Linked DNA regions of Mus musculus. The protein of the gene in region 1 binds, or shares a complex with, the protein of each later gene. Links are inferred from orthologs where the notes say so. Each region holds a gene or a part of one and is shown on either strand. Other genes may lie near its edges. The genes, in order: Bicd2 and Bicdl1.

Region 1 (3,806 bases):
AACACACAGAAAAAATACAGTACTTAGACATCATTGCAAATAAATACCCCATACAGATGATGTTATCTTAAATGTAACAATATTTTGTATGAATCAACACTGTAACAGAAGGCAAAGAGTCCCAACAACTAGGAATAAGAAATGCTCATTCCAGGAAACAGAATTCTTCAATTCTTAACAATTTATATTATTATAATTTGTCCCTTTTTAGGCTGGAGGACAATTTCCCTCCCTCCACTAGTACCAATTTGACCACACCCTGAACCTCACTTAGCAAGGAGTTTACTAAGGAGTTTTACTGACTTCTGTTTCCTGAAATTAACAGTGATTAGTTACACCAAGCAAGAGAAGATATAATGTCTGACTTTCACATTTGCAAAGAATACTATGGCTAACCCTCTTCCCCACTCGCATGCCGACTTCGCCGGCTCTCCTGACGCCCTCAGCTCTTCACAAACGTGATGTCTGTACAGCTTGCTTAGCTTGTCCCATGAAGTCCATTTGGTTCCCAAAGCACAGTCCAGGTTTGTGTGCTGTCTTGTTTCTAAGCCCCTGAATTTGCATTGAAGAATCACTGACTAACAGAATTTTGCACAATCACTGTTCTCTCTCCCTCAATGAAGATGCCCAAGTACAGAGTGAGGCAGGTACCTGCTGGTCCACAATGGCCTTCAGCATTCCCAACTAGCTCTCCACTGCTGCCCGTCCTGGAGACCTGACCTGGCTGGGACACCTCCCTGAACTGATGAAGGCACTACTGGCAATGGTTACTAACAAAAAGGTGTTGAAATTGAACACCTGAAAATCGACGGCTGTAGAATTTTCTAAGTGTACCACAATTTGGCACGACAACCAGAATAACAAAACAATTCCAATTTGGAATTTCACTGGTGCAGTTGTATAAAATTCTGTTAGTCAGTCATGCTTCACAATGTCCTAAAACCCAGAAAACTCTGGAATTTGTAGGTAATACTACTCATTCAATAATTTATGCTTTCAAGTGCCTATTACTGTTTTAACCAGAGCAAAGGTCAAGTTTTCTTCTTGTTACATTGAACTATTCCTAAGAATAATAATAATAATACAATATGAAAAACCCCAGAATTGGAATACCCTGGATTTCTTAATGAACATGGCATTTAAAATCTGTAATTTCAAACATGAACCACAATGCCGTGTCCTCTAAAGGCTGCTGAACCACAGCGTGGATACACTGGCCAGCTCCTTGCCGGGTCGGAGCCTCACCCGAAGTCTAGCTACACACCATGGAGCACAGCTCTACCTTGAGTTGACGCAGGTCAACACATCAGAGCCAGGACGGACAGCTACAGGACCATGAACACAGACCACGGCACTGGAGACCGTCTCTATGCAAGGAATTAAGGAAGCAAATATAATATCAAAATATCAAAAGTGCACAGGTTGATCGGATAAAAAAGGAGCATGTGTAATAAGGAGAGCCTGTGGCAGGCGTCCAGCAGGCCCCTAGAGAGCCTGGCAGCGCGGCGGCTGTGGAAGCAGGTTCTTCGGCCACACAGAGACCTTCCCAAGCAGCAGATTGCAGCATTCTCAATAGTAAAGCTTTTTTTTTTTTTTTCTCCCATTAAAAACTTGGGGAATGCTATTTTGAAAAGAATTACAGTGGCATATCCAAACATTTCTAAGTGGACTTTAGGCTGCCCTTCCTTCCTCTGCATGGGCCACAGGAGGGGAGGGGGAGGGGCTGCTGTGTGACAGGGCCGGGTGGCCGCCTCCTCCCAGCAGCTACTCTACAGCTGAAAACAGGAGAAAACAAGACAGCATTAGAAATCAGTCGAGAGCCACTCCCTGCTCACTGACAGCTAAAGCTCTTGTTCTGGGAGTGCGCGAGCACATTAGTTGGCAGAGGAGGCCTGCATGTGTGTTAGGGGATGGGGCTCCAAGTGTCCACAAAGCCCCATACAGTGTAAGAGAAGCTGCGTTCTGGCCCAAAGAGAAAGAAAGGCAGAAGGTTGGGTGGGCATGCGGGCAGCCATTCCCAGGATGGACATGCAAGGGACACGTGTGGCCTGTTCTGCCCCCAGTGTACGACCATGTGCTGCCAAGAATCTGAGCAGACTGGGGTACCCCAGGATCCAGGGGAGAGAAAGAGAAAGCTGTTTGAGAGACTACAGGGCCATATTGGATAGTAATTGTTCCACATCATGAAAGATGCCTTTCCACAGGGAGAGACAGCCAAGCAGCTATTATGGGAGATGGAGTCTCAAGACTAGATGCCCCATGGGGACAGGGAGAGAAATACTGAGCAGAGTCCTGTTTTACAACTCACTAAAGCACACACCTGATCTGATGCCACAGCTCCGCACTGACAGAGCATCTGGAAAAGGAGAGCCCTCGGAGGCCTTTCTTCCTTCTGTAGTATCCACAAACTGCACCGAGAACCACACAACTCTTACCTGCCAGTTTTGAGCACAGCTCCGGGCCCACAAAAAGTCCCCTAGCACACAGCTGGGCTCTACTGTGCCGTGCAGTTTGGTAGAGCACTAGTAGTTCTCAAAACACTGCTTCTTTGGGTCTGACAACTTCTAGGAAAAGACCCAAGCACAAGCTGCAGATCTCAAAGGACCAAATAATAGGCTCTGAACCAAGGACCAAGGTCTGACCAGGCACTTGGAACACTCTCGTCAAGAAAGAAAACCTAGGACCTCAGGCCCTGCTAATTTGTCACCTTTCAGGACACAGCAGCATGCGGATCTTTGAGATGGAGCAGCTGCGCTGTCTGCCTGGGCTATGGTTATCGTGTCTGAGGTGTGGGGGCTCACTGCAGAACACAGGCTGCAACCAGAGATGGTCCATTCCCTCTGGGACTGCCATCCTGGATGTGGTTAGCAGTGAGATGCTGCACAAACTACAAGGAAACTCTTCATGAAACTATGCCAGCCACAGCGAGCTAACCTAGGCTAGTCCTATGATGCAGGCTAGAGCCTCACAAAACTGCTTTCAAGTGCTGATATTAGACACATGCGAGCAACATGCAAGTTTCAACTCAGGTTCTGCCCCTGTGAGTGTCCAGGGAAGAACTCACCCTTGGGTTCCCTAACAGTGCCTGGAGGCCCTGGAAAACTTTCACTCCGCTGTCTTCCACAAAGGTGTGCAGCTTCACCCCTACTTTTGATACCAGCATCCCAAAGGACAGCAACTGACATGGTATATCCTGGGGGCGGGGCTGTGGCATGAAAAGCAGCACAAAGCTCAAAGTGTCCTGGTTACAGATGTACCCCAACGCTGCCACTTGCCTAGAGTGCCGCCCTCTGTGCGTTAGTCACGTTAGGAGCGGCCTAGCACTGCTGTCCCGCTGCTGCAGCTGGGTTAGTTGAGGTGAAGCGGACGTTAGGTGTGCGGCGCCCCACAGCCCTAATCACAGTAAATGCTGTGCTTCTCGCTGCAGAACACCTGGTTGGCCAGCCCGGCGCCCTCCGCCCTCTCGCTGGCGCAGGCGCAGGTGTGACTTACGCTCGGTGAGGCTGGCTTGGCCTTGGAGGCGGCCTTGCTGCGGCCCCTGCGGGTCTGTTCATGGTCCAGCTCCAGCAGCTCCAGCCGCTGGGTGAGCGCCAGCTTCTGCTGGATGGCCATGCGCAACAGAGAGTTAAGGGTCTTCTTCTCGTCCTCGGCAGCTGCCAGCTGCCGCTGCATCTCATCCAGCTGTGTGATGTATTCGTCACACCTGTGGAGACAAAGCACAGCTGAGAGGCTGAGAGGGAGAGCAGGCCCGGGTGCCCACTGCACTCCAAGGCATCTCTCCTGGAGCCTGAGCTGGGGCCAGAGCT
Region 2 (4,492 bases), on another chromosome or scaffold:
ACTAGTGAATATATTTTCAAGTGTACACAAAAGAAATTTTAGAGTCAGGTACACTGCACACCTATGGTCTGGCTGGTTGGGGACTGAGGCAGGAGAATCTCTTAAGTACCGGAGTTCAAGGCCAACATGGGCAACACAGTGACACGGTGAGACCCTATCTCAAAAATAAATCATGCTTTTCAAACATACATACATACATACACACACACATACACGCACACACATATATATGTATATATACACATACACACACATATATATGTATATATATATATATACACATACACACATATACACACACACATATATGTACATACATATACATACATCTATCTATATTTATGTATATATACGTATATATATGAAGCAGGGTAAATATATGTAAGCTTTTGTTTTTAAGTTTTGATAGAGTACACATGACATATAATCTACAACCTTGACCACTTTTGCCATGTCCAGATCAGCAGTGTTAGGTATGACACTGGGCAACAACGCCCCCTCGCCGCCCGACCCCCACCCCCGAGTTTTAAAAGTTTAACACTGGCATTTAACACAAGCAGACCGGCACAAGAGTGTAGGTCTTCAATGATAGTATCTTCAGTGATAGTTTAAGCAGGTTAAGCTATTTTAGGCTTACCCATGGAGTCAATTACAAAATGTCAGAGGTCGTTATTTATCCCTTTACAGGAGAACCTTTTTGTTGCTGTGGAATTTTGAAATCCTGCCCTTACTGAGAACGCCACATGGAAACCAGGATCTGTGTAACTGTGCACCATGAAATCTGTCATTCATCAGACTGATAGGATGCTCTTTTCAAGCTCACAGTTTCTTCACTCAAGTCCCTCTCTGAAGGAATTTCCAATCTCCAGCGCACATCTCCGGGGTAGTCACTACTTTACAGTGTCATGTAACCGAATTGATTTGGAAAGAAAGGGACACCCTTGTATTTCCAGACCTCTACTTCAAGTGGAGACTAAACAAGTCAATTCATTAAGGTAGCTCTGTTGTACTCTGGCTGTCCGGGCCCAGGTTTCACAGACAACTTTTCAAGCCATGTATCAGGAGTCCATCGACCGGCAGGCCTCGATAACGGGCCCGGCTGAAACACAGGCCGCTCACTGGTTTCCTTTCTTCTGATTTAACTTTCGATAGGTGACTAGACTCTAGACGCACATCAATCCCACGGCAGAAGTGTTTGTCCACTCACATTCTGACCAAACAGAAGCAGTGGAGGAGAACCTGACAGAGGGCTAGTTTCGGGCCTGGTCACATCTGTACTATGATGTTCTCGTAATGAGAACGAGGAGAACTAGTCCAAGAAAAATGGGTAACAGTGCTGAACGCAGAGGGCCAGAAAAGCCTGGCTGTTTCCACAGCTCGAGCCTGCTCTCCTTTTTATTTTGAAAACCTACCACTTTGGAATGGCTATCTTTTTCTAGGTACCCTCAGTTACCATTCAAGACTCTTTCTGCTTAAGAGCAAAATCCCAATAAACACAGTTGTAGACGATGTTGTTGCATGGAATTAACAGAAATATTACTCATTTGAAAACGTACTTAGGATTATTTATTAACTGGGGTGTGTGTGTAGGCCGGAGGACACGTTGCTAGTGACATCCCACATGGGTTCTGAGGAACCAATTGGGGCAAGTGACCTTACCCACTGAACCATTTTGCCAGGAAACGACCCTCCCACAGGGGTGGGTGAGGGGAAATGTTTTTAGTAGTGGTTAAAAGTAACATACATGCTAAGACCCAGGACACAGGAAAGTACTACTGAGACACACATAGCTACTGAAGCCCAAACTAATCACATGATGAGCCCTGCCTTCTCTGATTTCTGCAATGGAACCACATCCCCTAATCCCTAAGCATTTGAAAGCTATATAAAGCTCCTTTCGAGGCACTTGTTCCCCACAACTCTCTGCCAGAAAGTTAAGACAAGGGCATCCAGAGGCCTTAATGCCCGGACTGGAAAGCTCTGGGCTAACACCCTGATTAGAGATTAACTGCTTCTCCGAACACCTGAAGCATATTTTAAATGCTTCTCGATGTTCTCATTTCTGTGTGCAGATATCGCCTTGGTGCTGTATAAATTAGTCATACTGTAAGCTCTATTTTAGACTCTGTGTACAATACATATATAGAACGGCCCACAACGGTGAGAGACGTGCACGGACTCACATCCGAGCTGGGTGGGAAAGGCAGGTGGGCTCAACGAACGCGCTGATGCTGGTGAAAACTATCCCTCCTGCCTCCCCGTTCTCGATGATCTTCTTCGAGGTAGACTAGGCACGGAAACGGGGAGGACAGGCAGGCACCCCAGCTCCCCACCCATGCCGCCGGAAGGTCCTCACCTCTAGCTTGTCCGTCAGCTCCTTGTGCATCTGCTCGTACTGCCGGCTCATGTCCTGGTTCCTCTCGAGCAGCGCCTTGCCTAGTCGGGCCGCCAACACCAGATCCTTCTCCTTCTGGCGGATCACCGACAGCAGCTCGGGATCCTGGGTAGGCGGCGGCGGCAGCGGCGGCCCGTGCCCCTCAACCGGAGACTCCGGCTCCGCCTGAGGATGCTCGCCGGGCTCGGACGACCGCTCCCCGGCCGCCAGCAACGCCAGCTCCTCCTCTAAGGCCAGTTCCAGTTCCCCGGGACCTCCGGGGAAGGAGACGAGGGCGGCAGCAGTGGCGGGACTCCGGACTGCGTCCCCGGCCCCAGCGGGCAGCTCCATGCAGCAGGCGCTGTCCGGCTCGGCGGGTGCTGAAGCTCGGCCGGCCAAGCCCAGGCAGAAGGCGGACATGGCCCGCGCGCGCCGAGCCCGCAGCGGTGCGGCCCGGCCGGCGCGCGCCAGGCTGCAAGGCGGGGGGTGGGGATGGGGATGGCGGGGGAGGGGCCCCGCCGCGCCGCCCCGCGCTTCGCCTCGCCTTGCGCCGCGGCACGCGCCCCCCGGGTCCCCGCGAGCCCTGGGCGCGGCGCGCGCGGGCGGGCAGGCGGGCGGCCCCTCCCCCGCGCCGGCGACACGCGCCCCCGCCCCCGGGGGGCTCAGCTGCTGGCGCGCGCCCGGGACGCGGACGACGGGGGTGGGCAAGAGCGGCAGAAGGGGAGATTGAAGAGGGGTGGCGGGGTGCGGAGCGGGAGGAGAAGCCGCGCTAAGGATCGCCGCCGCGGCCGGGGTTCAGCCGCCCTGTTGCTGCCGCTGCTGCTTCTGCTGCCGCCGTCGCCGCCGCCGCCGGCCGGCCGGCGCCTCACGGGGAGGGCTGCGCTCCGCTGTCGCTGCGTCGCTCGTTGCTGCTGCTGCCGTCGGCCGCTCCTTGCAGCCGCGCTCCATGTCCCCCGGCTCGGCGGCAGCAGCGGCGGCGACGGCGGCTGCTGCTGCTGCAGGGGCCGAGGCGGCGGCTCGACATCGTTGGCCGCACAGCCCCGGAGCAGTCCTTCCTTCTTGCCTGCCCGGCCCCGCAGCTCACCCGGCCGAGGAACCCGCCCGGCTCGCCCGCCGGGCTCGCTCCTCCGCCCGCCCGCCCCGCGCTTCCGGCCGCGCCCCTCTTCCCCGCCCCGGGGGCCGGCGCCTGACGCGCGCGGGCACCTGTTCGCCGCCGCGCCCGCGCGGGATTCGCCGACGCTCCGCTCGCCTCGGCCGCGCCCAGGTGGCGCCCGCCTAACCCGGACGTGGCCTCACGCGACGCGGGGACGGATGCGCGCGCCGCCCGTGGGGAAGCTCAGCGCGTCCTGAAAGGCCGGAGCCTCTCCCTCCCGTGTGTGTGTGTGGGGGGGGGGGGTGGGGACGGCCACGCCCCCGGCCTGGAGCCACGCCCTCAGCCTCGTTCCCAGCTCTAGGTGTGGCCACGCCCCCTGCGCGCTCACCTAAGGGTGCGGCTCTACGTCCACCACTTCTCCGACTCCTCCTCAGCTTGGCGCTCGGCCACGCCCCCTGCCTCGTTTTCGCCGGGGCCACGCCCCCCGCGCTCGCACCTCTGGGTGTGGCCTCCTCCTCCTCCAGACTCCCACGCTCTCACCCCTGATGGCGCTCTGCAGCGGCACGCGTCCTCTTCCTCGCCTCCGCGGCCCCAGCCCGCAGCCTCTCTTCGGTTTGGGGAGCTGGCGGGAGCCCCATTTGGATTGGGTCTTGTGGTGGGGTATCCTAGCTGGTCTGTGGTCCGAGGGGGCTGCGGACAATTATGTGAGTCAGGGAGCCAGGCGGAGAGCCATTTGCAGTGCGGGATTTCTATCTGAACCCCTGCAAGAGCTAAGCAGTCGGGAGAGGGAGCCCTCGAGAAAAGGAGGCGGAGGAATGACTTGGAGAACCCAGCATCTTCATACTGATGACTCAGGGATATGAGAGAAAAGGGTTTGTGGAGAAATAACGGGAGAAAACAAAAATCCTGCTTCTAGATGGGGGATACAAAGCACAGACATTCCCCAGTAATAACTACCTGAGCCATGTCCAGCTTTTTCTTTGTTAGTTTTATATGCGTTATCTTAATCTCACAAGGGTTTTATA

The links.
Region 2: Bicd2 (region 1) and Bicdl1 share a complex: the UniProt entries of both Homo sapiens proteins name them as parts of the tripartite complex. The link is inferred for Mus musculus from reciprocal best matches to the Homo sapiens genes BICD2 and BICDL1.

What each region holds. Positions count from the first base shown.
Region 1 is NC_000079.6:49,382,940-49,386,745, reverse strand, and holds part of Bicd2 (protein bicaudal D homolog 2), read right to left. Parts: intron 3,704-3,806; coding exon 3,394-3,703; 3' UTR 1,776-3,393; coding exon of another isoform or gene 1,770-1,775; 3' UTR 1-1,769. UniProt on the Homo sapiens protein: Acts as an adapter protein linking the dynein motor complex to various cargos and converts dynein from a non-processive to a highly processive motor in the presence of dynactin.
Region 2 is NC_000071.6:115,728,766-115,733,257, forward strand, and holds the start of Bicdl1 (BICD family-like cargo adapter 1), read right to left. Parts: upstream 2,857-4,492; 5' UTR 2,795-2,856; coding exon 2,357-2,794; intron 1-2,356. UniProt on the Homo sapiens protein: Acts as an adapter protein linking the dynein motor complex to various cargos and converts dynein from a non-processive to a highly processive motor in the presence of dynactin.